Linked DNA regions of Macaca fascicularis. The protein of the gene in region 2 purifies or fractionates together with the protein of the main gene of each other region. This does not show direct contact. Links are inferred from orthologs where the notes say so. Each region holds a gene or a part of one and is shown on either strand. Other genes may lie near its edges. The genes, in order: ARID1A, SS18 and BCL7C.

Region 1 (9,868 bases), on a different chromosome or scaffold from region 2:
GCACTCAGATTACAACCAGCTGCCCAAACCAGACCTAGACCTGCCCAAACACCAGGAATCTGGAGAGCTTAATGTTCCTCTCTCTCCCTACTCCTTCCCAAAAGCAGCAGAATATTAACACTGAACTTATGATTATCCATTCCTCACCCCAACCCCAAGTGCCAAAGCCTGCTGGGGATCCTGAAGCAACTATTTTTCAAGTCTTGCTTTAATGAAATCTAGCTAACTTTCCAATGACTATTTAGTGTTTTAAAACCACCAGCCAGGTGGAATGACTAATGACAAACAGATTAACAGTTTCAAGGCAACAGTCTGGTAGAGCTTTTTCTGTAAAGGTCCACAGACCACAATGGCACCCAACTGTTCAGAGCTTGTTCCTGTGAATCTCAGGAGAAAATAGCTTTGAGTTCCTTCAGCCCAGGGGAAGAAAGATGGTCTCAAGACTCCTGATTTATGTATAGAAAGCTGCCCTCACAAACAAGCCAGCTATGGAAGCACAGATATGTAGCATCTTAGAGTGAGGTCATGCAGACCAACTTCATTTTATTGATGAGGGAGAAAATGAAAAACAGAGAAAGCAAATGACCTGCCCAGGGTCACACAGCTTAATCTGGAGCTGTATGTGGAACCTAAGCCTCCTCCTTCCTCCTCCTGTTGTGAGTCCTGTGCTCTTTACCACTAATGCAACACACAACTCAAGTGTGCACCAGTAATAACAACTTAAGTGTGCATCAGTAATAATAATGACCAATCTAAACAACAAAAAACTCAGAGATAAAAGTCACAGGAATCAGTACTCCATTCGACCCCAGGCATTACAGCTCACTGGCAGAAAAGAACGACTCGGTGCCAATATATTTGAATACCACATTTTTACCATATTTACAAGCTTCAGTTGATTCTAGAATTTTGAGAGTTGAAGCCAATCAATAAAACCTTTTGAGGGGTGGGAAGAGGAAAGGGCCCTGCCCATTACTTTGTTAGCCTATTCCCACATTTTTAAAAAGTTCACTAACCTCTTTGCAAAGGGCCTACTGTAGACATTACACCCTACAGGAGTCAATCCAACATATTAATGTTTAATGCAATCCAAGACATCCTGTTTCAGCAGGTGCTGCTTGTCATGGTTACCCATGTCACACACAAAGCAAGAAACCTAAAAAGTCCTCACAGGGCCCAATACACAAGAAGCCAAACTCGGTCCTGGCTGCTTTCTCTGTTCTCACACCACCATCTCAATCCTCATCACCCCAGTTCTCTCATGAACAGTAGAGAAACATGAAACCCCCACAACTAAAGTGCCATCTCAGTGTGGTTTTCCTGGTCCCTCCTACTTGAGAGAGCTCCAAGAGTCCTGTATTTCAGCCAGCCTAGAATTTCTGCCAGTAGGCATTCCCATAATAAATCTAGGATTCCTGTATCTGTTTCCCAGGAGTCAGAAATATCATTTGATATTTCCATAGTAGAAACTAACAACCAAACTTCTACAATCAAATCCAACTGGTTCCTGGACTATTTATTGTATTTCATTTTTTACCTTGGTAAACTGGTACTACTCTCAAAGTATTATTGCTAAACAGCGTTCCAATAAAAGGCCTTAAATCAACTTCGTGTGTGTAAGTAACCTAAAACTATGTCATCAGTACCAGGATTCAACACTTGACATACGCTACTTATGAAAAGGAATAAAGTAGAAGTTTGTCTGCTAGGACCTTCCCAGCTCCTGTGAAAAAGACATAGTCACAATACACACACCTAATCTTTATTTCATAACAGCAGAGTCAAATGAAAACATTATCACCTTAGCTATGTTAATTAAGTCGCTGCAAAATATTCTTAATCTAAGACTGGGCCAGGGAAAGATGGGGGCAGAGCAAGACTTTTTAATTTCAGAATGTTCAAGACTAAAGCATCATGGTCTGAAAAAACATTCATCCTCAAGTGGCAAAAAGGAATTCAGAACAAAGTCTGAACCTACAACCCTCACCTAGACTACTACCACACACCTGAAGCAGTCCACAAAACTGGAAGCTGCACTCTCTCTCAAACAAGTGAATGCTCACCAGCCCATTCCCTGGGCCTCTGGGGAGTAGGCCACTGAGCTGAAATTAATTAGGAATCTATGTTGTGTGTGTGTGGGTCTAGTGATAATAAAAGAGATCAGAAAATTCATCCAAAGGCAGCAGACAGGCTTCCAAACAGGGACTGTATCCATTCTCCTATCATCCACACAGAAAAAGTGTTCCATAATTTAATGACTGAAAAACAGAAATCATTATACCAAAAGAGTTGGCTTTTTCTTTAAAAAGTTTGACTAAATATTTCCAAACCAGCAGAGTTCAAATCAATTTTGCTTTTAAATGAACCCTGACTTACTACCCCAAATGACTTATTCTAATAGTTTTCAAGAAAGGTAAACTTTTCAGCCAAAACCAAACAAAACAAGGGGAATGAAGGGAAAGAGGTTCAGACTATAGGATGACCCAGAGACAAGAGGATGCTGTCTTTTAAGACAAAACTTTTCCTCCAGACACTAGAAAAACAATGTAACATTTCCCTATTTCTTGCCCAGATACACAACATCATGGAAGATGTAGAATCAAGGCACAGAGCTCCAAGCCCACCCTCTAACACAGCTAATTTCAAAATGCCCAGCTCAAAGGAGGAGTAGAAAAGTAGCTCTAGGATGGGCTGGGAATACAGCTAGTAAGTGAACAAAATCTCCTAGCACAAAAGCGCAAGGGGTTTGGGAGGCGATGGATGGAGCTTCCCCCTCTTTGAAAACATGTATGACTCCACAGAATACTCAGTATCCCTGACCAAAAGCACTGCTGACAGAGCATGATGAAAATGGAAGAAAAGCAATAAAATAAAACAAGATAGAATAGTATAAAAAGATACTTCGAAGTTGCAATTTCTAAGCTAATCTCAAGTGTCATTCTAGGTCATATCTTCATGTCTTGGAAGACAAGAAAAAAAGTGGTACATTAAAATGCAAAGGAATAAATTGGCCAGTCTCTATTTCAAAGCTCTAAAATGACTGATGACAAAACAGAAAACTAGACTTTTTGTTATTCCAGGAAAAAACAATTTCACCAAACCAAGCCTTTAGGAGAAAGTCCCTCAAGATCATGAAAGACACCAACTTCCGTTTAAATTAAGCTGCTATTCCAAAGTTCAATTAACAAAAGAAAGTGTTAACAAGATTCAACATGTAAACAAAGAATGAGGCCAGCCTTCCATAACACAGAATGCTTGAACCTAATATAAAATTCCTCAGAAAGCTCCCAGTTCTTAAAAAGAAAAAACTAAAAAACGAAAATTGTTTTCTCCCCCACCCACAAAGATCCCACATTTGCCACTCAATAAAAACCCCAGTAAAATCATTTCAATTCTGCAAAGCAACCAGTGTCAAAATTACTCAAGACAAATGCATCTTCAGAGCCATCAAAGAAGTCATTTATACCATCAGGAAAGTCACAAAACCAAAACAAACAGCAAACCCATTGTAGAGAAAAAACTCAGCTACTGTTCTGACAACACAGAATTCATTTCAGGCTGCATAAAACATAACAAGCAAAATAAATCCAAGGTACAAGCAAAATGCCATTGCCCCCTCTTTTGTTTCGGGCACAATGTAACAAGGGCAGGCTGTCTGAGGCTTTGCTCCTGCTGATACAGTATTGCTACTTAAACCTCCCTCCTCAAGGTCACAGCCAATTTCAGCTCTGGAATAAAAGGCAGATAGTGGCAGCGATGGTTTGGGTTATCACTGGCAGAAAAGCAGAGTGTAAAAGTTTATGAGCTCATCAGGATTGTTGTACCATTACATCAGAGGCAATTATAAATGGCCAAGAGCAGGAGATGGGGAGCCAATCAGATCACAGATAGGATGTCAACCTAAGACCAACTGTCTCCTGGCTTTGACAGAAGGATTTTACCTCCATAATTCAAATCCCAAACCAAAGCAATCTGCACTTACTACTCCAATCACTCAGCTGTTTACCAGCACTTCCAGAGAGAAGCCCAGGCCACTGGGCCGGCGGAGCCTAAGACAGGAGATGGCAAGGGCTGCCCTAGGTGAACCGCAGCCGGCCTCTAGCAGCTCCCAAGCAGTCCCCTGCCCTCCCTCGAGGTCCCTCCGAGCTCTAGGGGCCCTCTTTGAAAGCACAGATGGGGGGCGGCCCAGAGGAAGGCCGGGGGACGGAGAGGAGCGGCAGGTGAGCAAAGAAACGTTCATTCAACTCCTGGGTTCCTACCACTGCCTACACTCCTAACCTGAGCCCCCAGCACCCCCTCACTCCCGGCCAGGCCCTTCCCCACACACTCTGCCCCGCACCCCCATCAAGACCCCTGGAGTTCGAAGGGACCAAGGGAGAGGAACAAGAGAAGCAGACACCTCTGGGAAAGCCCGACACAAAGGCTGGAGGAGGAAAGGAGAGGAAGGCAGACAGGCAGCCATTTTAAGAGAGAAGAGCCAGACAATGGCAGCTCCCCAGCAGTGGGGGCCCGAGACTGAGGGGAGCCCAAGGCTGTGGCCCGCTGACCGCAGCCGCCACCCACCCCCAGGACCACGCTCGCCCCAGCCCCCTCCCCACTCAGCTGTGTACCTGAGGGGTCCGGGCGAGCGGCTGCCCCCCGCCGCCGCTGCTCCCGGGGCTCATGGGCGCGTGGTGGCTCCTTTGTTGGGCCCCTCCCGAGGCGGCCGCCGCCGCCGCCGCCGCCGCTGCCGCCGCCGCAGCCCCCCAGCACTGCGAGGCCATGTCCGCCGGGCCCTTGCCGGCGCCCCCGTCCTGGGGCCCGCCGCCGTAGTCGCCCCCGGGGTAGCCCTGGTAGCCCCGGGCCGAGCTGGGCGACGTGAGCAGTTGGTTGAGGGTGGGGGTGGCGGTGGGCTGGGGAGTTCCCCCGCCGGCCGCGGAGGGGCCGCCTCCCCCCATGGCCCCGAAGCGCTGCTGAGCGAAGGACGAAGACGACGAAGAGGCGGAGGCGCTGGAGGAGGGAGGCGGCTTGGAGCCGGGAGCCGCCGCCGCGCCGGAGCCCGGAGTGCCACCTCTCGGGGAGCTCAGCGCGTAGGCCGGGGCGGGCGGGGGGTAGGCGCTGCGGTTGGGGTAGTAGGAGTTGTACTGGTGGTTGGGGAAGCCGTGGTCGTGAGAGTTCTGCTGGGGCCCCGCGTAGGGCTCCAGGCCCCCGCCGCCGCCGCTCTGCAGCGCTGCCAGGCCAGGGCTTTGTTGTCCGCCATGTTGTTGGTGGAAGACGGCGGCCGCGGCGGCGGCGACGGCAGACGGGCTCCGGCCGTAGGGTTGCCCGAAGCCGTAGGCTGGGGGCGGCAAGGCGGCCGCGGCAGAGTGAGGAGGCGCCCCCACCCCATCGCTGCTGCCGCCACCGCCGCCGCCGGGCGGCTCCGTGAGGTTATTGTTCAGGGCGGGCCTAGGGCCCGCGTTCCCGTTCGAGTTCTTCAGGTCCGGCTCCGCGCCGGGCCCGCCGCCGCCGCCAGCTCCGCCGCCGCCGCCACCCCCATTGCTCTCGGCCCCGTCTTGCAGCTCCTTTCCCAGCGGCTGCGGCGGCCCCACGGCAGGGCCCTCGCTTTCCTGCCCGGCGGCTGCCTTCATTTCCCCGCGCTCGGCCGCTGCCGCCGCCGCCGCCTCGCCCCCCGCCTCCTCCCGCTGCTGCTGCTCGGCTTTCTTCAGCTCCGAGGGCGGCGGCGGCGGCGGGTTGCCCAGGCTGCTGGCGGCGGCGGGGGCGACCTGCGCGGCCATGATCCCCGCTGTCTCGTCCGCGGAGAGACCCGGCCCTGTCTTCGTCTTCTCCCCCCCTCCCACCCCGCCCCGGGGCCGAGTCCCCCGGGCTGCCCTCCCCACCCGCCCGGGCGGGCCTCGCGGGGCTCCGCTGCTGCGCTGCGCTCGCTCCTCTCCCCCCCGCCCCGCCGGCTCAGGCTCCGGGCTGGCGGCGGCGGAGGAGGAGGAGGCGGCGGCGGCCGAGGCGCCGGCGGCTCAGCTGCTCCCGGCTCTGTAGGCTCGGGACCCGGCTCTCCCGGCTCATTCCCCCCAAGCCCTTGCCTGGGAATGAGGGGGGCGGTGGAGGCTCCGCTCCCCAGGGCCTGGCCCCGCTGTGACTCTCCGCTTTCTGCTGCCGGAGAAAGGAGGAGGGAGGGAGGGAGGGAGGCGAGGGGGAGGGGGCGGGGAGGGAGGGAGGGAGCGGGGGGAGGGGGACCCGGGACGGGCGGGCTGGAGGGCGCGCGGCAGCAGCCCGGGCGCCGGGAGCCAGAGTCAGAGCGCGGGCCGGGCCGGGCGCCCTGCCTTCCCTCGCCAGCCGCGGCTTGGGTCGAGGCTGCGGCGCGGCAGCGGGCGGGCGAGAAAGCGGTCGGCCGGACTGAGCGGCTAGAGCGCCCCACTCTCCTCCGAGTCCCCCTCACTCCGACACGAGGCTCAGCACTGCCATTTTACCCAGCGCCGTCGCGGCCGCCTTGCAAACCCGGAGTGGAGAGCGGAGCGGGCGCAGGCCGTGGAACGGACTCGCTCCCTACCCCTCACAAAGGAGGAGGGGAGAGAACAAGCCGCGGCGGCGGCAGGCCCTTAGCCGCTTTCGCTAGGCAGCGCCGCCGCCGAAGGCTTCGGAGAAAACCCGGCCCGGAGCCCGCGCATCTCTGGAGCCTGCGCCGCCTCCCTCCCGGCGTCCCTATCCAGGTCTGTCCCCTCCCGGCCGTACCGAGGGGAGCGGGCAGCGTGAACTTTACCCGCGACTGCAAAATTGGCCAGAGCCCGAGACCGCGGCCGCCTCGGCCCAGCCCTGACCCCCTGGCAGCGGGCCCGGTCCGTTGGCTGCTGTTTAGCACCTCTACAGCACTTTTCGTCTTCAAAGCCTTCTACAGACCCCGCTAAAGACCCAGCCTTTTTACCCTCTTTGCGAGCCCAAAGGAATGACTGGTCATTGTTCAGATGATTCGTTTCCCACTCGCCTGCCCTCATTAGCCGGTCCTCACAAGGCTCTGGGGGCATGAGGTCCGGATTATCCCCATTTTACAGAATTGAAAGAGGGGAGGGAACTGCCTGTCACTTAAAGTCAGAGGGCAGAGGAGGGTGACTTTAAAAAGAAGTGGAGTCACCAAAGCTGCCTTCGGTCTACTTGCCTTAAAAAAAAAAAAAAAAAAAAAAAAAAAGTCAAGTTGTGAGCACATTCAACAATGGAATCAGAATATCAAAATGGATTTGAAGTCAAAACTGATCATCTCACCACTGACTTAAAATGGAGGCCACTTGAAGTTGCTTTAGGAGCATACAACAGTTACCCAGCAGGAGAACCTAAACCCTGTTTTCACTCCCTCTCAGGAAAACTTAGCCCACAATGACCAGTATCCCCAGTCTCCAAAGACAGTACCTTCTAAGACTGAAAACCCACAGAAGAGGCTCCAGGGACTGCAGGAACCTGAGTGTTCAAACCATTACAGAAGAGAGATGCAGAAAATGGAAACCATTTTCTCCTTGAAGAAAAGGCACAGTCCAACAAGTCACTTAGAAAATGGATGCTTCTCAGATTTGTTTTCTATCCTGTAGCGTAAAAATTGTTTAAAGTTTACCATTTACATTCTAAGAGACCCCGATTGAGCTGGATCTGAAAAGATCAAGACATACACAGAAAACTCCAGTGTTGTCCTGATCTACAGGCCCCACCAAATCCCAGCAGCAGCCTTTTCTTCCTCAGGCTGACTTGGAATGTTCTGACATGACAGGCTACGAAAGCCAGAGGGGATTCCAGCTCCTCACCAGACCCAAGGCTGCCTTGGGAAAGGCCCAGGCCAGTGTTCCTAGACACCAGGATATTTTCCCCCTCAGATTTTGTAAAGGGAGACTTCATGGCCACAGGACCATTAGATTATGCAGGACCCCGGAGTGCTGGCCATATCCCTGGTCACTATGAATAATTCCAAAGCCTGAACTCACTTCTCCCCCGCAAGAAAACTTAGTGAATCCTACATTGAAAAGGCAAAACCTTCCTGTTAATCTAACAGTGGTGGAAAAAAAAAAATCCCACAGCTTTATTCTTCTCCCCTCCCCCGGCCTCAAGCCAAGAACCAAAGCAGCCTACCAAGAAGATCCAACTGACTGGTATGGGCCAGTGCCCTCTTTTCACTCATAGTCCTCAGGGGCAACAACTCTCCCCGGTGCATTAGGTCCTAGAAACCAAATTATAGGCTGCTCATAAATAGAGCTTGGCTATTTAATCAACTGCCTCTGAGCTGGCAAACAGTCCTGAGTCCTGCACACAAATGAGGATTTTTTTTTACATGCAATTACCCTGCCATTTTCCTCAGAGCTGGGGTGTAATGGGAAACCTGGAGCCCAGTGAAAATCTGGAAGCTAGAATGGATTTCTCTCCAAAGAAAGCCCTCATCCCCTTTCTTCAATGGCTGTGAAATATGGAAAGCGCCAAAAATCTCCTTCCCTACACGTGGGCACGCTGTTTTGAAAACAGTCACCATTTTTCTCTAGCAATAAGGTAAAGTGCACAAAAATCTATCCACCTGGGTTGGAGGAGATAATGTGGCATTTCTCTTTTTGTTTTTTAATTCACTAGGGTTCTCTTCCACTTCTACCTTTAGAGCCCCACACCACAATCCCAGGGACTGTTGAGCTGAGGGAACTTTTTTAGAAACTGGCCCATCAGCTTTCCCTAGGGGCAGTGGCAACGGGAAAGGGGGGGAAGGGAGGAGCTGGGCACGTGGCTGGCCCGAGCAGCGAGACCCCGGCTGGGGGCTGTGGGTCCTCCCTTCGGTGGAGTTTTCTCCCCCACGGTCCCTGCCTTTTAACCCCACACCCAGGCAGCTCAGGAATCCCGGCGCAGATTGGAGAACTAGGACTAGGACAGCGCTACCCTCGCGAAAGCGCCTCGGCCAACAGCCTGATGGCAAATATGGACTGAATCGTTGACATGGAAACCGGACTAAAGTCTCGCTAGCTCTCCCTCACAGGAGAGTTCTTATCGCCGTCCCCGACCGCACGGCACTTAGCAAACATGGACTGGATCTGCGGCCTGGAGTATCAGGCGGAGTTTCTGGGCGCATTAACTCCAGCGGCAGAGCAGCCAAGGAAGGGGGCAGGGCTGCCAGGACAAACCGGCTGAAAATGGCAGAGGATGTGCTCCCATTTTATCCGGCTGCACAGTGTGCATGGATTGGGCCCGAGGATAAGGGAACAACCTATTAAAATCCAGAGAGTCAACTGCAAAATGTGGAACCGAGGCCTGGAGGGTTTGCTAGGAGAGGGAAACGTGTGCAGGGAAGACAGCCCTTCCTCTCTCGCAATTTGCTTCCCCTAAATGTCTGAAAAACTCAACAAACAAACAGAAGATCGGGCTCGGCTCCTTCCTCCACCCAATCCTTGTGGGAGAAGTCGTTTTAAGCCCAGGGACCCTAGTGAGGGTTTGCTTAGGTTCCTAACTAAGGCGTGGAGAATCGTTGGAGCGCCAGGTTGTTGCCCCCACACGTTCCCGCCGCGGCACAGCAGCAGACGCCCAGCAGAGCTCTCTCGAGTGCGAACTAGAGCTGCGAGTTTGAGCAAAAGGGCAACTATGTCAGTTGACGGAAGCCAGAAGCAGAGTTCAAAGCCTGGCGTGGATTTCCGTCTGGAGCTGTCTGTTTCTTAAAGTTTGTAACTCCGTGTTAAGAAACAGCCCCAGCGGAGGCTTTGGGATCGGTGTGAAAGTCTAGCACTACCATCTGACAGCGAGTTGCAAAACTTTGGGCTGCATATTAAGCGAGGAAAGTGGATTGAAGCGAGAGTCAAGGCAATTCATTATGTTACCGGCTCCCAGACGGGAGCTGTAAAATACGAACTGGATCCACACACGGAGAAAAATGGAATGAACTTGGAAT
Region 2 (9,868 bases):
AAACCTTCCATAGTATCAAAAATAAAAGTCCTTTACAGAGAATTGGGAAGGGTGATTTGTTCTTGCCTGAATAATGATTAAATAAATATATAGATGTATGCTTCTTTCTTTACGGTCTTGAAATCTGTGGGAGCCACAACTCAAATTGACTCATCAAATGCCACAGGGACTGTGAACAGAAATATTTTGAAAGATATTACCTGAGGGGTTTTGCTCTGAGCCCAATTATGAGCAGACAGGCTTGGTCTATGCCTTCCCAATGTATTCTAAAAATTTATGACAGCTCAGGGGCTTAAAATACCAGCACATTTGGTAGTACAGATACTCTACTAATTCTAAAACATACATATTAAAGAAATGCTTGTATGAAAGCAAAATTATTTTAGTTATCCGTACATATTTTTTGTGGATTAAGATAATTTTTAATGCCATGGTTATATAGTTTCACTAAATATTGAACATATTACAGGAGCACTTTACTTTGTCAGTTCATAAAAATATATTTAAGGAATACACGGTCAGGTGTGGTAGCTCACGTCTGTTCTCCTAGCACTTTGGGAGGCCGAGGAGGGTGGATCGAGACCAGGAGTAAAGGAGTTTGATAACAGCCTGAGAAAAATGGTGAAACCCTGTCTCTATCAAAAAATACAAAAATTACCCAGGCATGGTGGTGCATGCCTGTAGTCCCAGCTACTTGGGAGGCTGAGGTGAGAGGATCGTTTCAACCTGGGAAGTCGAGGCTGCAATGAACTGAAATTGTGCTACACTGTAGCCTGGGTGACAGAGTGAGACCCTGCTTCAGATGTGTGTGTGTGTGTGTGTGTGTATTTTAAGGAGTACAGATTTACATAAAACAGTTTAAAAATTGAAACATAAAAATCAAACATGGACAATTTTTTTTAATCTTGTTTTTGGTTAAATCTGCCTACTTCATATTCATTAGTGTGAGTAATCAAGAATTAACTGTTCACGCAGATTATTTTTCTTATTCTGATCCACTGTATATGTTCTTCAATTTAGGATTATTCCAAACTCCTTCTACCTCTTGGTTATGTGACTTGAATTCCTTCTTTGGATGTCTCTCATTCAAGAGCAGTTTAAATAGTGGGACTGATTTTTTTGGTTGGGGAGATGGTTGCCTGAGTAGCTTACCTTTAAGTCCTTAGAGGACTTTCCCAGTTTTAGGCCAACTTCCCTTATTTATTCTCCTTTACTTCCTTAACTAAATGCTAGGGACTGTTTATTCTCCTCCTTCTACCAACTCTGCTGCCACTCAGTCTACCTTGGGATTCCTCTCAAAACTAATGGTCAGGTGAGATGGGACTTATTATGTTCCCCTAAGTATTCCCTAACTCAGGACTCTTAAACAACAAAGGCCCCCAAATTTTAAGAAAGATCTTTCAGGCTTCAGTCTCAATCTTTCCTCTTTCCGAATTTTCTGTTTTTCCAGGTCAGGCTGATTGGACTGATTGGGTTTTAGCAAGGAAGCTTGAGGGTGAAGTAGTTCTCTTTTCTGGCTGGACTTATAGAACAATGCTTTTCAACCGATTTCATGTGATCAGACACAGAAAATAATGGTATTTTTACAGCATACATGGTGTCACAGAAAAGACTGTGGTTATCCATACCTGGAGGCTATGGGTGCTCTAGGCCCTACCCAGCTACTCTGAAGAAATAAACACCTCAGGGCAACCTGTAACCTGTTTTCAGTGGATTTCCCTTTCTCACCTTGGGGAAGCTGTAATTTAAACAAAGAAGGTACCTATCTCCGGGTGCCTCCCTGGAATAGAAGCCCCCTTGGACTATTTATTTTTTGCTGGGATATGGAAATTAGACAAGTGTTCCTATTGGTTCTTGTTGCCCTTTGAAGTTTCAGTGCTATCTGCCAAATGCACAGAACTGGAGCAGTAGGACTATTTACGATTCATGTTTCCTATTGAGATATTGTTCTTAGCTACTAAGTACTAAGGTACTTTTGTGTAAAGCATGAGACATGACTCTGCATGCCAGGTGTTGAGTGCACAGTGATAGTGGTAGACAAGTGTTGGTTTCCAAATTCGACAGAAGTTTTCCAATTTGGTGTGGTTACCTTAAGTCCAGCTATACCAGAGTGTTTTCTTCAAGGCTTAGAATAGTGAAAGACAACAGTTAAAATTTTAAGAATAATTGCTATCAGTAGGAGTATAAACTTTCTTCCCTTTATCCTTAGAACAGCTTGAGTCTTCATCCTTTAGGTCTCAGTTTAAATATAAAGGGGAATACTTTTCACACTAACTAATGTAGGTGTCCCTGTCATTCTGTTAGTCCTCCCCCTTTTTTTTGGCTATTTTTTCTTGGGACTTTACATATATACATATTTCTGGTCTGTTAGTCCCATTAGTGTATAAGCTCCTTGAGAAGAGGTTCCATGTCCAGCTTTTTCACAATTGTACCCCAGGTTTCCAGTATAAAGTCTAATAAACAATGCATCCAGATTTAATCAATGAAACTCTTGACATTTTTGTGAAAAGCATTTATTTGATACTTTTTTTTTTTTTTTTTTTGAGACAGGGTATTGCTGTGTCATCCAGGGTGGAGTACGGTGGGGCAGTCATGGCTTACTGCAGTCTCCACCCGCTGGGCTCAAGTGATCCTCTCACCTCAGCCTCCCGAGTAGGTGGAACTACAGGTGCACACCACCACACTCAGCCAATTTTTAAAATTTTCGTAGAGCCAGGGGTCTCACTTTGTTGCCCAGGCTGGTCTCAAACTCCTGGCCTCAAGTGATTACATTTTTAAAACAATGTATTTTTTCTTTATTTTTCCAATTTATATGAAAAATGGAAATATTTATTTTTTATTATTCATTAACGTTGTGTAACACTTTATATAAACTTTCCCTTTGTGTTATATGGAAGTCTAAATTTACAGAATACTTTAAAACCCCACGGCAACACAAAACCCACATTTGTCCGTGTTCCTTCCGTAATTTGAAAATTTTGCCTTTTTCCCTTACACTGACTTGAAGCCTGGCAGCTTGGGCCTAATTTACAAGGCACTAAGCACTCTTAAAAAACAGAGTGTGAGGATGCCCTGTTTCACAACTTAATTCCAAAGAGCCAAGTCAGACGAAATCGACCCACTTTCCTGCTAAGGGTTTGTCCCACGAGGCGAGCTCTTCTCTGTCCGCTCCAGCCAAGTTGGCCGATTGCCCCCGAGCACTGGACACAACCTTGGTGTCCCGGTTTCGGGTCAGGGTTACTTTCTAATTGTTATGCACGACTTTGTGCATGCGTGCGAGACTGTGGACTCGGAGGTGCGCATTTGGGGCGTAGCCGAGCCATTTAAACCAGCGAATCCGCGTTCACCTTATCCTTCCACCTCTGTCCTATCTCCGCAGATGCTCCACGGATTGGCACGAACTCCCGAGTGCTGACCTTCCTCCCCTCTCCGGGCTGCCCGGACATCTCGGGGCAGCGACTTCTTGCCAGGAGGCGTAAGTAAGGATGAAGTTGGAACAACTGAACTAGGTCTAGGGCACGCTCCGCAACGCAGTCGGGGAGACGCTTCAGAGCGCCGCGGGGGAGGCAAGTTGCAACCGCGCGAAGGGGGCGGGCCGGCTCGAGCCGCTCGCATTTCCTGTGACAGGGGCTGCCCCAGCCTCTCCCTCTCCCGCGGCGGCGGGACCATTTCCTGAATCGCTGAAGCGGAGGGAGGACTAGGGCGCGACTCTACCATTAGCGCGAAAGGCCAGGGGGTGCCCACAAGGAGAGGTCGGGGGATGCGAGGACGGTCAAGAAAGTTCGGCCGGGGCTGCGGGTCCCCCAGAGTGCGCAGAAACGAGACGTCCCTGGGCCAGAGTGCCTCCTTCAGGCCTGCCCCGCCGGCCGTCCGCTTGGCCCTGGAGCATCCCCCCTCCCCGCATTCCCGAGGTGGTTCAGCCCGAGAGGCCGGCGTCTCTCCCCCAGTTTGCCGTTCACCCGGAGCGCTCCGGACTTGCCGATAGTGGTGACGGCGGCAACATGTCTGTGGCTTTCGCAGCCCCTAGGCAGCGAGGCAAGGGGGAGATCACTCCCGCTGCGATTCAGAAGGTGAAACCGCGCTGGGTTGGGGATGCCAGGCCCTTCCCGCCTCTGGGAGAGACGGACACGGGGGGAAGGGCCGGGCCCGGAGTCGACCGGGCCGGGCCAGGGGCGGAGGCGGAGGCGGGCCTGCTGGGAAGCAGCCGTGTGTGGGAACCGGGGCTGCGGGCTGTGCCTGAGTTGGTGGCGGAAGAGGGTGAACCGGTTTTTCTCGGAGTCTTTCGCGCGTTTACGCGCTTTTCTACAGACACAAAAGCCCAAACAGCCGCCGCCTGATTTCTCTAGGGATGGGGCGGCGTTCGGGCGGCGGGGCGCGTGCGCCCGGCGGCGGCCGCGCTGGGAAGGGCGTGTGTCGGGCCGGGCCCCGCGCGTTGCTCCGGAGTTACTTTGGCGTCGCCCCGCCCCGCGCGCCGCGGCTGCTTCGTGCGGACCCCACCGCGGGCCGCTGCTGGCGGAGGGAAGTCGGAGCGCAGGTCGCTGCCCTGCAAACTCAGCCGAGTTTGGGAGCTCTCAGGAGAACTTGGGGAACGCTGGAGGGAACCTTAGTAGAGTCTGAGGAGCGGGCAAGGAAGGTCCCCATGGACTCTGAGGTTATCCCCAGAGCCTCTTCTTCCCTTCTACATCGCCGCCTATTCATTTACTTCTGCAGCAAGTATTTATTGAGCGCCTATTTTAGGCGCTGAGGCGACTATGGTGAGTCATGGTCCCTGCCTTCCTGGAGCTTACAGTCTAGTGGTGGAGACTTCTGTCGTAACCAGTTAATATAAGTCGTGATAAATACAGAGGGAGCTGCCTCCTTTTTAAGGATAGTGCTGCTACAGTCGCTGCTGTGTTACTGCCTGTCGGAACACAAAGGTTCTTTATTGTCCTCTACCCCTTGTTGCCTACTAGCAAGGCAGCATTCTAAATTTTACTGACCTAGGCTTTCAAAAGTTGCTGCTATATTTAGCAGTTTACCTTAAATATTTTTGTTTTGTTTTATGCCGTGTAGCAAAGATCAAAATAGAAAAAAAGGTCAAGTTTTAGTACCACTCAGACCACATAGATTATGCTAATCGGTTTCTGTTTACTGTCAGGTTCTTCGTAGTGTGGCTTTTGACATTTGCCCAACTGTTGCTTTATTTTATGAACAAACGGGCTTGGCAGTGCCTGGAAATGCAGTGCTTTCATATAGTACTCTGAGTTAAGTCTACAGCCTGGCAAACAGCTCCAAGTACACACTTACGCAAAACTGCGTTTCTGGGGGGTTCACCTTTTTTATTTTTGTACACAGGAAAAGTCCAGAGTTTTTCTTTTTTTCTATAGTTTCTCTTACATACGTCTTAAGATATTTATCATGGATAATGATTAATTCCGAGTATGGTGATCAATTTTTTTCCATTCTCAGCTGAACAGAAACATGGGCTCCAAATTAAGTTCCTTATTCTGCAATGGGAGAGATTGATATTAGATGTGAGACACATATTTTAATGGTGACGTTCAGTAGTTTGAGGAATATACTGGAGATAAGTTGTGAAATCATTAGGTTGAGGATTTGATTCGTGCATTTTAAAGACTTTTTTTGGTCAATGATTCTATCTAAGAAATAACTGCATTTATTAGCAGATCATGTTAGTGGTTTTTTTCCCCCAGTAAGTGAAGATTGTGATTCACGTGCAGAAAAAAAGTGACAGTTAATGTTAAATGGATGTTCCTTTTATTGAGATAGAGTGATTATGGTATTGTACTAATACTTTTGAATCCTGGTAGGGTGGGGCAGGTTCTGGAGAGCATCTCCTGAGTCCCTTGATCTTGGAGCTGAATCAGCCTCTGAAAACTTAAGTGACTTGCTCAAAATGGCAAAACTGGCACTGAAACTAACTGGCCTTTTAATTGCTACAATCAGTACTCTTTCTTCAGCTCCACTTTACTTAGATGAATTATTTAACCCTCAAAGCCAAGATTACTTTGAATTGTTAAAAGATGATAGAATGATAAATCGGTATCTTTTTCCTCTTAAACTTTTGAGACAGCGTAATTATGAAGTAAACTCATAAAGTCTGTAACAAATATTATACATGCATAGAAATTACTATCTTTAATTATTATCTCATAATTGGAGAATCACAAAACCATGCTGTTATAAAACTTGGAAACTAGCCAGCTACTTCATCAAGACTCCTGGGCTGAAGTTTTCATGTATTTATTTCATTCTGGAGAAGTACAGAATTTTTCTTTACTAATCCAAACCATTAGAATGATGAAAAGCCAACTCGGACTCTTAACTTTAGTCTTAATTGGCTAAGCTTCTATTACAGATAGCAGAGGTAATTAAATGTTTGATATAAAAGAATTCAGATTTTCGTTTCTGGGCTTGTTTATTCAGAGGGAGAATAATTGGAATATTAAAACGTTATTGATTAAACATGGTATCATTCCAAAGGTGTAAAATTAGGATTTTTTTGTGGTGAGCTATCGTATATATTAAAAAGACCCAAGAGGATTCAATTTCTGTATAGATGCAATATTTCTAGAAATCTGAAGGGAAAAAAACTCAGTTACTGAAAACATTGTCCATATGAACTGTGCATGGCATAATTTTACAAGAGATTTAAACAGTACGTAATGAAATTTTATGCAAGAGAGCTGCTGATTCACTAATCTTGCTTTAAATCATATTTATTATTAAAATGAATTTTAAAATACTTTGTAACAGCGGGTAGCAACGTTAACAGAAAATCATTTTAAGGAAATTTTGTTTTTTTATGTTTCCATGTTTGCTTAATGATTTATGATATGTAATGATTGTTTGGCGGGGAGGACAGTATTTTGTTAAGGGGTACACTTTAGAGTTCTTGTACAAGCAGTATTTACTAATGCCCTCCCTCTCTGAATTTTCTAGTTTTTTATTTTACTTGATGCACTAGTTTTATGCTAAACCTTTTCTAATTCTGTTTCAGATGTTGGATGACAATAACCATCTTATTCAGTGTATAATGGACTCTCAGAATAAAGGAAAGACCTCAGAGTGTTCTCAGTAAGATTGATAAAAAACTTTTTTTTTAAATTCATTTTTTGTATTGGTTAGTTTTTTACTTTTTACTAACAGCTTTATTGAGAAATAATTCACATACCATACAATTCACCTATTTTAAAGTGTACAATTCAGTGTTTTCTAGTATATTCATAGAGTTGTGCTGGTATTAGGTCAGTCGGTTTTACAACATTTTTAACATCCCCAAAAGAAACTGAGTATCCTTTGGCAGTCACTACCCCCCCGCCCCTCACCCCCTGACAACTACTAATCTACTCGCTGTGTGAATTTGCCCGTTGTGACATTTCATATAAATGGATTGATATACTATGTGGTCAGTTTTGACTGACATTTTTCACTCTGCGTAGTACTTCTGAGGTTCATTCATGTTGAATCATGTTTCAGTACCTCATTCCTTTTTATTGGCAAGTATTTTTTTCCATTATGCAGCTGTACCACATTTTATTTATCCATCGGTGATAGCCTTTTGTGTTGTTTGTACTTTTGACTAATTATGAATGATATTGCTATGAACATTTGTGTACAAGCTTTTGTGTGACTTGTTAATTTATAAAAGAAATCTTTCTTTGGGAGGAGATTGGGTATCACTTCGTTTCTTATACTTCTTACCCTGCATGATACAATAATGACTTCAAATATATGTGTAGTCTGATCTGTGGAAAAGTTAGATCTTCATTTATGTAGGATATTGAGTTGCATCCATGTATGTGGTGGAGAAAACAAAGCTTATATCTAATAAATAGAGAATTGATTGTCATTCATAAGGACCAAACTTTCTACCTTAAAGCTATGTATCTGAAGTAAATAATATGCCCTAATAGAATCTGATGTGGTAGAATGAGTTGAATATATTATCAAAAGTATTTAGAACAGCACTGTCCATTAGAAATACAAATGCGAGCCACATGTGTGATTTTAAATTTTCTAGTAGACACAGTAAACAAGTAAAAAGCAGGTGAAATTAATATTAGTAATACATTTCATTTAACCCATTAGTTCCAAAATAGTATCATTTCAATATCCAATTAGCATAAAAATATTGAGATATTTTACATTTTTTTTTTGTTGTTCTAAGTCTTGGAAACCTATTGTGCATCTTGCTTTAATAACACATCTCATTTTGGATTAGCCATATTTTACTGTGTCTAGTGGGTGCTATATTGGTCAACACAGCTGTAGAATATAGTTGACCCTTGGTATCCATGGTGAATTGATTCCAGGACTCCCCATGGATACCAAAGTCCAAGATGCCCGTGTCCCTGGTATAAAATGGTGTAGGATTTGCATATAACCTACTCACGTCCTCCTGTAAACTTTAAATAATCTCTAGATTGCTCATAATACCTAATACAATGTAAATACTCCGTAACTAGTTGTTATATTGTATCGTTTAGGGAATAATAAGAAAAAAGTCTGCATGTTCGGTACAGACACAACCATCCATTTTTTTTTTTTCCAGAATATTTTCAATGCATGGTTGGTTAAACTATGGATGTGGAATCTGTGGATACTGAGGGCTGACTATTCTCACCCTGGTTTTGGGATGCATCTGTCTTTCCTAGAGACCTCACTGGTGTATCCTCAGGCAGATAATTCCCACCAACCTTGGCCCTTGCTTTGTTTGGTTTTCACATTGTATTGGTCTCTTGCTGTCATTTGATTTAACCGCTGTTTAATTCCAGGTTGCCATTACTTTTTCCCCTTTGTTTAAAAATATTTTTAAATTTAAAAAGTCATATATGGTCATTGTAAAAAAAAAGTTATAAAGTGTGAGTTTGTGGAGATAAGTCACCTTTTACATGCCACTTACTATCTTATCTCCTTCCCCTCCATAGGGTAACTGCTTCTGTTGCTTTAGTATGTATCCTTCCAAACATTTTTCTGTGCATTTACATATATGCGTTCCTATTTATGCGTACACGTTGATAGATACTGTTTTTAATATTTACGTAGGTTACAGTTTTAGAAATGGAATTACTGGGTTAAAGACCATACTAAGTTGCCAAATTAGCCAGCAAAAAGATTGTATTGGTTTGCTTTCTCCCAGCCAGGTTTTTAGAGTCCTAGCTTTCAGCTATCCCTGTGAGCAGTGAATATTAGACATCTTTAAAATATTTTTGCACATCCAGTTGCTGAAAAGTGGTGTCTTAAAGAACTTTTTGTTTTGGCCAGGCACGATGGTTCTTGCCTGAAATCCCAGCACTTTGGGAGGCTGAGGTGGGAGGATTGCTTTGACGACATGAGTTTGAGAACAGCTTGGGCAACAGTGAGATCTGTTTCTACTTAACACCAACTACAAGAAAAAACAAAAAGCCTTTTTGTTTTGAAATAATTTCAGACTTACAAAAATATTTCAAAGATAGTACAAAGAATTCCTGTATGCGCTGTACTGAAGTTTTTGTACGATAACATAGCCCACTTGCTTTTTTATTCATTTCTCCCCCATAATGTTTTTCAGAAACATTTGAGAGTAATTGCAGATATGAATCCCTCTTACTTTTAATAATCTCAGTGTGTATTTCCTAAAAACAAGCACATATTCTTAAATTACCAGAGTATGATTGTTAAAATCAAGAGTGCAATACTATTATCTAATATTTAGAGTTTTTTTGAATGTTGCCAGTTGTCCCGTTAGTGCATATTTTCTGGTCCAGGGTCCAGTGCAGGATCTGGTGTTGTGTTTAGTTGTCTTGTGTCTTAAGTATACTTTAATCTGGGGGTCTTTTAAAAATATTCCATGATTTTGACATTATTGAATAGTATAGACCAGTAG
Region 3 (9,868 bases), on a different chromosome or scaffold from region 2:
TGAGCTGAGATCCGGCCACTGCACTCCAGCCCGGGGACAGAGCGAGACTCCGTCTCAAAAAAAAAAAAAAAAAAATACAAAAATTAGCCAGGCATTGGGCTCAATGGCTCACGCCTGTAATCCCAGCACTTTGGGAGGATGAAGTGGGCAGATCATGCGAAGTCAGGAGTTTGAGACCGTGTAATGAAACCTTGTCTCTACTAAAACTACAAAAATTAGTCAGGCATGGTGGCGGGTGCCTGTAATCCCAGCTACCGGGGAGGCTGAGGCATGAGAATCGCTTGAACCTGGGAGGCGGAGGTTGCAGTGAGCTGAGATCGGGTCACTGCCCTCCAGCCTGGGTGACAGACCGAGACTTTGTCTCAAAAAAAAAAGAAAAAAGAAAAAAAATGGCTGGGTGCAGTGGTTCACGCCTGTAATCCCAGCACTTTGGGAGGCTGAGGCAGGCGGATCACGAGGTCAAGAGATCAAGACCATCCTGGACAACATGGTGAAACCCCATCTCTACTAAAAATACAAAAAAAAAATTAGCTGGACTTGGTGGCACGTGCCTGTAGTCCCAGCTACTTGGGAGGCTGAGGCAGGAGACTCGCTTGAACCCAGGAGGCAGAGGTTGCAGTGAGCCGAGGCCACTGCACTCCAGCCTGGCGACAGAGCAAGACTCCATCTCAAAAAAAAAAAAAAAAAAATTAGCTGGACATGGTGGCATGCACCTGTAATTCCAGGTACTCAGCAGGCTGAGACAGGAGAAGCGCTTGAACCCGGGAGGTGGAGGTTGTAGTGAGCTGAGGGTGCGCCACTGCACTCCAGCCTGGGCAACAGAGCTAGACTTCATCTCAACACAAACGAACAAATACATACATACACACACACATATATATAAATATATATAATTATATATATTATATATACAGAAAATTATATATATACACATATATCAATATATATACACACACAGGGAGAGAGAGAGAGAGAGAGAAAGACAGAGTCTCGCTCTTTCACCCAGGATGGAGTGCAGTGGTGCAATCTTGGCTCACTGCAGCCTCCACCTCCTGAGCTCAAGTGATCCTCCCGCTTCAGTCTCCTGTGTAGCTGGGACTATAGGCATGTGCCACCACGCCCAGTTAATTTTTGTATTTTTTGTAGAGACAGGGTTTCACCATGTTGCCCAGGCTAAAAGTGCATATAATCTTGTGGGACCTCCATTGTCTGTACGGTCCACCTGTTGACCAAATGTTGTTATGCAGTGCATGACTGTACTGCCTCCACAGTGCAGCCTCCAGAATCACTCCTCCTTTGTAAATGAACTCCTTCCTTTGACTTAAGGCCATTTGCATGAGTTCCAGGGTAGCTCTTTTAATGGCTTTTCTGTGTATATCTGCCTTAGCCTGAGAGCCCTTTGAGGACAGGGCTTACATATTTCCAACTCAGTGACTGCTAGTGGACTTCGACATTATCGAAGCACAGAACTTCACATCGGAAGGTGCCTTGAAGGCCTGTTTTACAGATAGTGAGACTGACGTCCATTTCCATTTCTCTCCCTGATGCCCCTTCCGTGCGAGGCGCTGGTCTGGCTAGTCAGCGAATCAAGGTCCGCAAGGGCCAGTGTCTGGCGCCCCGGGAGGGACTCCATTTCCCGAAACGCACAGCGCGCTCCAGATGCGCGCTGGGGAATGTAGTGACCCGGTGCCCCGCCCCGCCCCCACCCCGCGCCAGTTTCCCAGCACCAGTCGCGATCCTCAGCAGCCCAGACTTTCGTCTCCTGTTGTCACTTACTACTTCCTGTGACTCCAAGACTGCCTTTCCTTACTCTACCCCTTCCTCCAGTCCCCAGCTCTGATTCTTTCCCGAGACTCAGTGGACGCAGGGGTCCTGCCCCAACCCCGACCCCAGTCCTCCCCATGAGTGTACTCGAACCGTTGATCTAAGTCCTGAGCCCAAGTCCCTGAAACCTCAGCCCCAGGCCTCCTCTAAACCCTAGCGCCTGTCGTTTCTCACAACTCACCCGCTCGCTCGTTACCTGACACCGGAGCCCTGCTCTTCCCCGTCAAGGCCGCTCCCCTCCCGGCCCCGGGGGTGGCGGAGACCCAGACCCCCAGCTCCCAACCCCTCTGACTCCTGCGGCCCTCAGCGACCCGGCGTCCGGTCCCTCAGCCCCTTACCCAGATTTCCCTCCCTCCGGCTCATGCTGGCCCCTGGCTGATCCCGGCTCCCTCCACGCCCCCCTTTGGAAGGGGGAGAAAGGGGAAAGGGCTGGGGGCGTGGCCCGGGCGCAGCCAATCAGAGCCCAGACCCCAAACATTTCACCCTACCCCCCCTTTTCAGACAAGATTCCTTGGCCCTGAGCTCAGTTCCTCGCCCGTGGGGCCTAGTAGGGGAAGGGGCCCGAGCTGGGAGGCAAGTTGTCCGCCGGGTGGACAGGACCTCAGGGCGGGGGTGTCAGCGCCTGGAAGGCAGCCCAGTGTCCTGCCGTGGGCTCAGGCTTGGACTTGAGGCAGGGGCTGCTTTGGTGGGAAAGGTGAGGAGACAGGAGAGGGAACAGCCGGACTGGCAGGACAGGAATGCGCAGGCCCTCTCTCTAGTCTGGGGCGCGGCCTGCGAGAGAGGCCACGATAGGGGCCGTCAGGCTCGGGGCACGCTTGTCCAGACATACATCTCCTGGCATATCTTAGATGGCTTCCAATCTCATTGTCACAACCACCAGAAGGGAGACAGATACACTGCTCTCCTCTCCTTAGCAGGCCTAGTAACAGAATCACACACACACGCCCCCCAGAAGAACAAGCTTCAGAGACCTGGACAGGAAGTCACACCCACGCATCAACCCCATTAACCTGGTGTAGACTGAAAGGAAGGCACATAGGGATGATCATACTTGGTTTCTGGCCCCCCCGAGGGGCTCGCGGTCTGTCGGGGAAGCCCATAGACAATAGCAGCTAATGCGGTTTGTGAGTGAAGACTGGGAGGAGGCCCGTGTGTGTGCGTGCGCGTGCGTGTGTCTGCGTGCGTGCATGCGTGCGGATGTGTGTGCGTATGAGCGTGCGTGTGTGCGAGTGGATGTGGTGTGAGGGTGCAGGTGTGCGCGTGTGCATGCATGTGCGCGTGCGTGTGTGTGTGCGTGTGCGTGTGAGTGGGTGTGTTGCCGTGAGCAGACAATGCTGGAATAAAGGAAGAAAGAGTTTAACTGGAGAGGGCACAGTAGATGGAATTGAGCCAGACCATTAGTAGGGCCCACAATCACATGTGCATTGACCGTAAATAGTTATTGGGCATTTACCATGTGCTGGGAACTGTTCTAAGAGCTATACACACATTAACTAATTCCTATGTTATAGATGCGGAATAGAGAGAAGTGACTTGTTCAGGGTAATACAGTTGGGTGTGGCGCAGCTGGGATTTTACCTAAGCAGCTTGGCTCAAAAAATGCTGTCCTAATCATGCTCCTAACCCCTTATACCCTTAACCTCGGGACATGGTCACGCCCAAACTCACAGACACAACAGGCACATCTTGAAACACACACACACACACAGCAGCACAAATTTTGACATGGTCTTATCTGCTGACAAGCCAGCCTCAAATAAAGTCAACCAAGACACACTCACTTTCTTTAAGTAATGCACATTTTATTTAAGTCATGTGATGGATTTTCACAGAGTACATATGCCCAGGGAACCAGCACCGGATCACACAACAGAACTGGATCAGCTCCCAGAAGCTCTCCCCTCATCCCCTCCCAATCCTAAGGGCGACCACTATCTTGACTTTGGTGCACTTTAAATTAGTTTTGTCTGGTTCTGAACGTAATACACCTGGAACCATCTAGTATGTACTGTTGTATTTGGCTTCTGTCACTCAAGATTTCGTCATGCGACTTGTCTATGTTGCTGGGTGTAGCCGGGCATGTCACTCCCGTTGCTGTGTCTATGTGCATGGTAATGAGTAGGGCATCATTCATTTTCCATTCTGTTGATGGGTTATTTCCAGTTTGGGGCTGTTATGAAAGGGCTCTGAACGTTCCCAAGCACCCTCTTGGTGCTCACACCTACACATTTCTGCTGGGTGTTGACAGCCTAGGAGTGGAATTGCTGGATCACAGAGGTGGCATATGTTCGGCTTCACTAGAAAACTGCCAGTTCTCAAAACGTCTCTACCAATTTACACTCCCCCAGAAATACAAGAGAGGTTCAGTCGCTCTACTTTCTCGCCTCCACATGGTGCGGTCTTTTTCACTTTAGCCATTCTGGTGGGTAGAGACCTACTCGTATTCGCAGCGCCTGGCGCGTAATTGGCGCTCAGTTAACAGGACTGTTGAATGAATGGATGAATGAGTGTTGGGCGGTGTAGACCGAGAGCCTGGCGAGGGCGGACACACGCACGCACTCCACACACAGCGTTTCGCGGACACCCACCGCGGCGCACGCACCCCAGGACACAGACCCTCTCGAGCACCCCGCGCCCACGTGGTCTGAACGCACCGCCTCGGCCCTGCCTCGCGCGTCCGGCCGCCGAGCAGTACCCAACTCCCGCTCTCGACAGCGGGCAGGGGGCGCTGCGCGTCCAGGCGCTCCGAGGGGGCGGGCCCGGGTCGGGGCGGGGCCGGCCGGGCTTCCAGGCCTGGGCTCTGGCCGCCCGCGCCACCGGGCCGCTCCGGGGACGGGCCGGGGCGGGGCACGGCGGCAGGAAACGGGGCGGGGACTCGCGGAGGCGTTGGGGACGAGAGAGGGCGCGGCCAACTCCCGGGGGGACGGCAGGCCGAGAGCGCGGCGCCCGGGCCTGGCGCCGAGCCTGAGCCCGCCGGACGGGAGGCGGCCCCGCCGCGGGCTCGGCTCCGGCCCCAGCCCCGCCAGCATGGCCGGCCGGACCGTACGGGCTGAGACCCGGAGCCGGGCCAAGGATGACATCAAGAAGGTGATGGCGACCATCGAGAAGGTCCGGAGATGGTGAGCGCTGCCCGGGGGCCAGGGACGGGACACGGCGGGACCACCACCACCTAAGGCGTCTAAGCTGCCTTCGCCAGCTCTGGGCCCCGGTGTTCGCTGTATCCCCGCCCACTAGCTTTGCCCTGGATCTGTCCCCGTTCCCCTGGCTACTCCTGGGGGTCTACAAAGCGTGGTCCCCAGTCGTGCTCTCCCAGAGTGGGAGCCCCCGTTTGTGCCCCGCCCCCTAAAGCTTTGACACTCCTTCTGCAAGTGCGCCCCGAGATCTGCAGGTCTCTGATCCCGGGCCAGGCCCATAGCCACGCCCCCCGTGTGTGCCCCAGGGGTCCGCAGAGCCAGGGCCCAAATCATATCCTCTCTCTAGAGGCACCCACCGCCTGTGCCCTGGGGTTTGCAGGGCTCTCTTTCTCCATGTAACTATGCCCCATTAGCAAAACTGTTGCTACCCTCCTGTGCCTCCCCAACCTCTGCAGGTACCCCCAGATGTGTCCGGCTCCTGGGGGGGTGGGTCTCCCCTCAGGCCTCTCTGACCCAGTCCCCCACCCTCCCACAGGGAGAAGCGATGGGTGACTGTGGGCGACACTTCCCTTCGTATCTTCAAGTGGGTGCCAGTGGTGGACCCCCAGGAGGAGGTGAGCAACCCCCATTCCCACAAGGCCCTGCATCTGTGCAACCTCAGGCAAGCTCCTCCCCACCCTGACCTCTACCTCCAGCTCCCAGAGACCTCAGATGCAGCAGAACAGACAGATGGGAACCATCATTAGCAGCTCCTCCCCTTTTTCCCTCTTTTCTGTTCCACACCCTGAGTTCGAGCCCTTTTGCTTCTCAGTGCCTCAGTTTCCTTAGGTGTATGGTGGGGCTTTCCAAGAGCTCTGACCCTAATCCTCTAACCCCCAGGAGCGAAGGCGGGCAGGTGGCGGGGCAGAGAGATCCCGTGGCCGGGAACGTCGGGGCAGGGGCGCCAGTCCCCGAGGGGGTGGCCCTCTCATCCTGCTGGATCTCAATGGTAGGTAGGGATCCTGAAATGCGGAGGGCTGTGGGGACTGAAGGAGTGTATTAGGGATCTCAGGCCAACCATCTCGGCTCTTGCTCCCACAGATGAGAACAGCAACCAGAGTTTCCATTCGGAAGGTTCCCTGCAAAAGGGCACAGAGCCCAGTCCTGGGGGCACCCCCCAGCCCAGCCGCCCTGTGTCACCTGCCGGACCCCCAGAAGGGGTCCCTGAGGAGGCTCAGCCCCCACGGCTGGGCCAAGAGAGAGGTAGGACCAGGTACCTCCCAGGAGCCCTCTCCTCTAAGTCCTGTCTTCTCCAGAGTCTAACCTACCAGCTTATCCCTATACCTGCTCCCCATCTTGTGCACCTTCCTCAAGGTGCCTTCCGACTCCTGCAGAATCTCTCTGTAGTTGCTGTCTCATTCCTCTGGTCTCTTAGGATCTATAGATGACATATCACTGTCTGAGACTTTCATGTAAATTAATTTTTTACTATCTTTCTCCTCACTCTCATGTCAGTTTCCTGAATGTTGGGCCCATATTAATCCTTTTTTTTTTTTTTTTTTTTTTTTTTTTTGAGACAGGGTCTCACTGTGTCACCTAGGCTGGAGTGGTGCAGTGGTGTGATCATAGCTCACTGCAGCCTTGAACTTCCTGGGCTCAAGCGATCCTCCCGCCTCAGCCTCCCAAGTAGCTTGGACCACAGGCATATGCCATTTGTATTTTTTGTAGAGGCAAGGTTTCACCATGTTGCCCAGGCTGGTCTCAAACTCACTCACTCAAGCGATCCTCCATCTTCAGCCTCCCAAAGTGCTGGGATTACAGGTGTGAGCCATCACACCCATACCCGCCCCCCCTTTCTTTTTTTAGAGAGAAGTTCTCTGTCACCCAGGCTGGAGTGCACTGGTGCAATCATAGCTCACTGCAGCCTCAAACTCCTGGGCTCAAGGGATCCTCTGGCCCCAGCCTCCCAAGTAGCTGGGGACTACAGGTGTGTGCCACCACACCCAGCTAACTTTTAAATTTTTTGTAGAGATAGGGTCTCGCTATGTTGCCAAGGTTGGTTTCGAACTCCTGGCCTGAAATGATCCTTCTGTCTCAGCCTCCCACGGTGCTGGGATTATAGGCGTAAGTCACTGTGCTTGGCCCTATGTGATCTTGTTCACTACTGTATTCTCAGAATAATATGGGACACAGAGTAGGTGCTCAGTAAATATCTGTTGAGTGAATAAATAATAGTGATAGTCATTGGGGTGATTAATAATAACAGGAATAACAACAGTATTTATTGAGCTCTTACTGTGTGCCAGGCGCCCTGGTAAACACTTTACATGGTTGGGTTTTTTTCTTTTCTTTTCTTTTTTTCCTTTGAGTTTCACTCTTGCCCAGGCTAGAGTGCAATGGCACAATTTTGGCTCACTGCAACCTTCACCTCCCAGGTTCAGGCAGTTCTCCTGCCTCAGCCTCCTGGGTAGCTGGGAATATAGGCATGAACCACCATGCTTGGCTAGTTTTATATTTTTAATAGAGATGGGGTTTCGCCATGTTTTGCCAGCCTCGAACTCCTGACCTCAGGTGGTCCGCCCACCTCGGCCTCCCAAAGTGCTGGGACTACAGGCATGAGCCACCATGCCCAGCCTTTTTTTTTTTTTGAGATGGAGTCTTGCTCTGTTGCCCAGGCTAGACTGCAGTGGTGTGATATCAGCTCACTGCAACCTCTGCCTCCCAGGTTCAAGCGATTCTTCTGCCTCAGCCTCCCAAGTAGCTGGGATTACAGGCATGCCCCCACACTCAGCTAATTTTTGTTTTTTTGTTTGTGTGTGTTTGTTTTTGAGACGGAGTTTCATTCTTGTTGCCCAGGCTGGAGTGCAATGGCACAATCTCAGCTCACCACAACCTCTGCCTCCCGGGTTCAAGTGATTCTCCCGCCTCAGCCTCCCGAGTAGCTGAGATTACAGGCATGCGCCACCATGCCCCACTAATTTTGTATTTTTAGTAGAGACAGGGTTTTTCCATGTTGGCCAGGCTGGTCTTGAACTCCCGACTTTAAGTGATCTGCCTGCCTCAGCCTTCCAAAGTGCTGGGATTACAGGCGTGAGCCACCGTGCCTGGCCTAATTTTTGTATTTTTAGTAAAGATGGAGTTTCACCATGTTGGCCTGGCTAGTCTCGAACTCCTGACCTCAGGTAATCCGCCCGCCTCCGCCTCCCAAAGTGCTAGGATTACAGGTGTGAGCCACCGTGCCCTGCCAACACTTTATGTGTTTTTTTCGCATTTAATTTTCACTACAACCTTATAAGGGTGATGATCTTGTTATGATCCCTATTTATAGATGAGGAAACTGAGACCCAGAGAAGTAACTCAGCCAGTGAGCCAGCATCTTGGGCCTGGGTCCTCCTCAGCTCTGCATTTTTTCTTTTCCCGCTTTGAGACAGAGTCTTACTGTGTCGCCCAGGCTGGAGTGTAGTGGCACGATCTCACTCACTGCAACCTCCGCCTCCCAAGTTCAAGCAATTCTCCTGCCTCAGCCTCCCGAGTAGCTGGGATTACAGGTACACATCACCACACCTGGCTAATTTTTGTATTTTTAGTAGAGATGGGGTTTCACCATGTTGGACAGGCTGGTCTTGAACTCCTGACCTCGTGATCTACCTGCCTTGGCCTCCCAAAATGCTGGCATTACAGGCTTGAGCCACTGTGCCCAGCCAGCTCTGCTTTCTTCCATGCAGTCAAACCCGTCTGGTTGGCACCTCTTCCTCCCAGGCCCTGCCTTGTCCCTGGCCTTCCCATCTCTCACCCGTTTTTGGTTCTAGCTGGTCTCTTCTAGTCACCCCGACACAGCTGCCAGAACAACTTTTTCCTTAATATTTTTTAAGCTTTGCTTTTTTGTTTTGGAGACAAGGTCTCACTCTGTCGCTCAGGCTGGAATGCAGTGGCGTGATCATGGCTCACTGCAGCCTTGGATTCCTGGGCTCAGTCAGCCTCCTGAGTAGCTGGGACTACAGGCATGCATCACCACGCTCAGCTAATTAGTGTTGTTATTTTTTATAGAGATAGGGTCTTACTATGTTGCCCAGGCTGGTCTCAAACTCCTGGGCTCAAGTGATCCTCCTCCCTCAGCCTCCCAGAATGTGAAACCCTGTCTCTACTAAAAATACAAAAAATTAGCCGGACATGGTGGCACACACCTGTAATCCCATCTATTAGGGAGGCTGAGGCAGGAGAATTGCTTGAACCTGGGAGGCGGAGGCTGCAGTGAGCCGAGATCGCACTACTGCACTCCAGCCTGGGTGACACAGTGAGACTCCATCTCAAAAACAAAAACAAACAAACAAACAAACAAACAAAAAGAACATCCTGATGTGGGACTGTGGGCTGGGTCTGGGTCTAGATAGTGCCAAGCACTTGTATACCTTTGCTATTATAAAAACGGTAGCAAGCATTTATTGAGCACTTACTGTGTGCCAACCACTGTGCTTTACCTGCATCTGCTCATCTGACCCTCACAACAGCCGCATGAGGTAATTACTATCATTATCCCCATTTTACAGATGGGGAAACTGAGGCCCGTGGAAATTAAGTAGCTGGCCCAAGGTCAGGATTTGAACCGAGGCAGTCCAAGCCCGGATTCTGTGGCAACCTAGCACACATTCCCTCTGCCTCACATGTCGTACTTTCCTGTCTGTCCACCGCATCAAGACCTACTCACCCTTGAGCTCCCACGTCAGTGTTCCCTCCTCTGCTTCCTAAGGCACAGCCAGGTTCCTGCTCTGTCCTCTCTGCTCCCATGGCCCTCTGCCTTCTGTGACTGGGGCCTGTGACCGTCTGTTTCCCCCACTGTCTGTGCTGCTGGCACAGAGTGGCTGTTTAGGGGATGTTTGTTACCTTGACGTTCCAGATCCCGGGGGCATAACTGCTGGCAGCACCGACGAACC

What was found.
Region 1: the proteins of SS18 (region 2) and ARID1A purify together in Homo sapiens (affinity purification with mass spectrometry; 7 studies listed by BioGRID and IntAct, counting the BioPlex papers as one, with this or other methods). This does not show direct contact. The link is inferred for Macaca fascicularis from reciprocal best matches to the Homo sapiens genes SS18 and ARID1A.
Region 3: the proteins of SS18 (region 2) and BCL7C purify together in Homo sapiens (affinity purification with mass spectrometry; 3 studies listed by BioGRID and IntAct, counting the BioPlex papers as one, with this or other methods). This does not show direct contact. The link is inferred for Macaca fascicularis from reciprocal best matches to the Homo sapiens genes SS18 and BCL7C.

The regions. Positions count from the first base shown.
Region 1 is NC_088375.1:208,408,764-208,418,631, forward strand, and holds the start of ARID1A (AT-rich interactive domain-containing protein 1A), read right to left. Parts: upstream 6,129-9,868; 5' UTR 5,757-6,128; coding exon 4,611-5,756; intron 1-4,610. UniProt on the Homo sapiens protein: Involved in transcriptional activation and repression of select genes by chromatin remodeling (alteration of DNA-nucleosome topology).
Region 2 is NC_088392.1:63,685,923-63,695,790, forward strand, and holds the start of SS18 (protein SSXT), read left to right. Parts: upstream 1-3,961; 5' UTR 3,962-4,001; coding exon 4,002-4,070; intron 4,071-7,000; coding exon 7,001-7,077; intron 7,078-9,868. UniProt on the Homo sapiens protein: Appears to function synergistically with RBM14 as a transcriptional coactivator. Isoform 1 and isoform 2 function in nuclear receptor coactivation. Isoform 1 and isoform 2 function in general transcriptional coactivation.
Region 3 is NC_088394.1:29,065,817-29,075,684, reverse strand, and holds the start of BCL7C (B-cell CLL/lymphoma 7 protein family member C), read left to right. Parts: upstream 1-4,605; 5' UTR 4,606-4,851; coding exon 4,852-4,943; intron 4,944-5,493; coding exon 5,494-5,572; intron 5,573-5,837; coding exon 5,838-5,946; intron 5,947-6,038; coding exon 6,039-6,200; coding exon of another isoform or gene 6,201-6,210; intron 6,211-9,831; coding exon 9,832-9,868. Other genes in the region: CTF1 (cardiotrophin-1), read right to left, coding at 2,876-2,924. UniProt on the Homo sapiens protein: May play an anti-apoptotic role.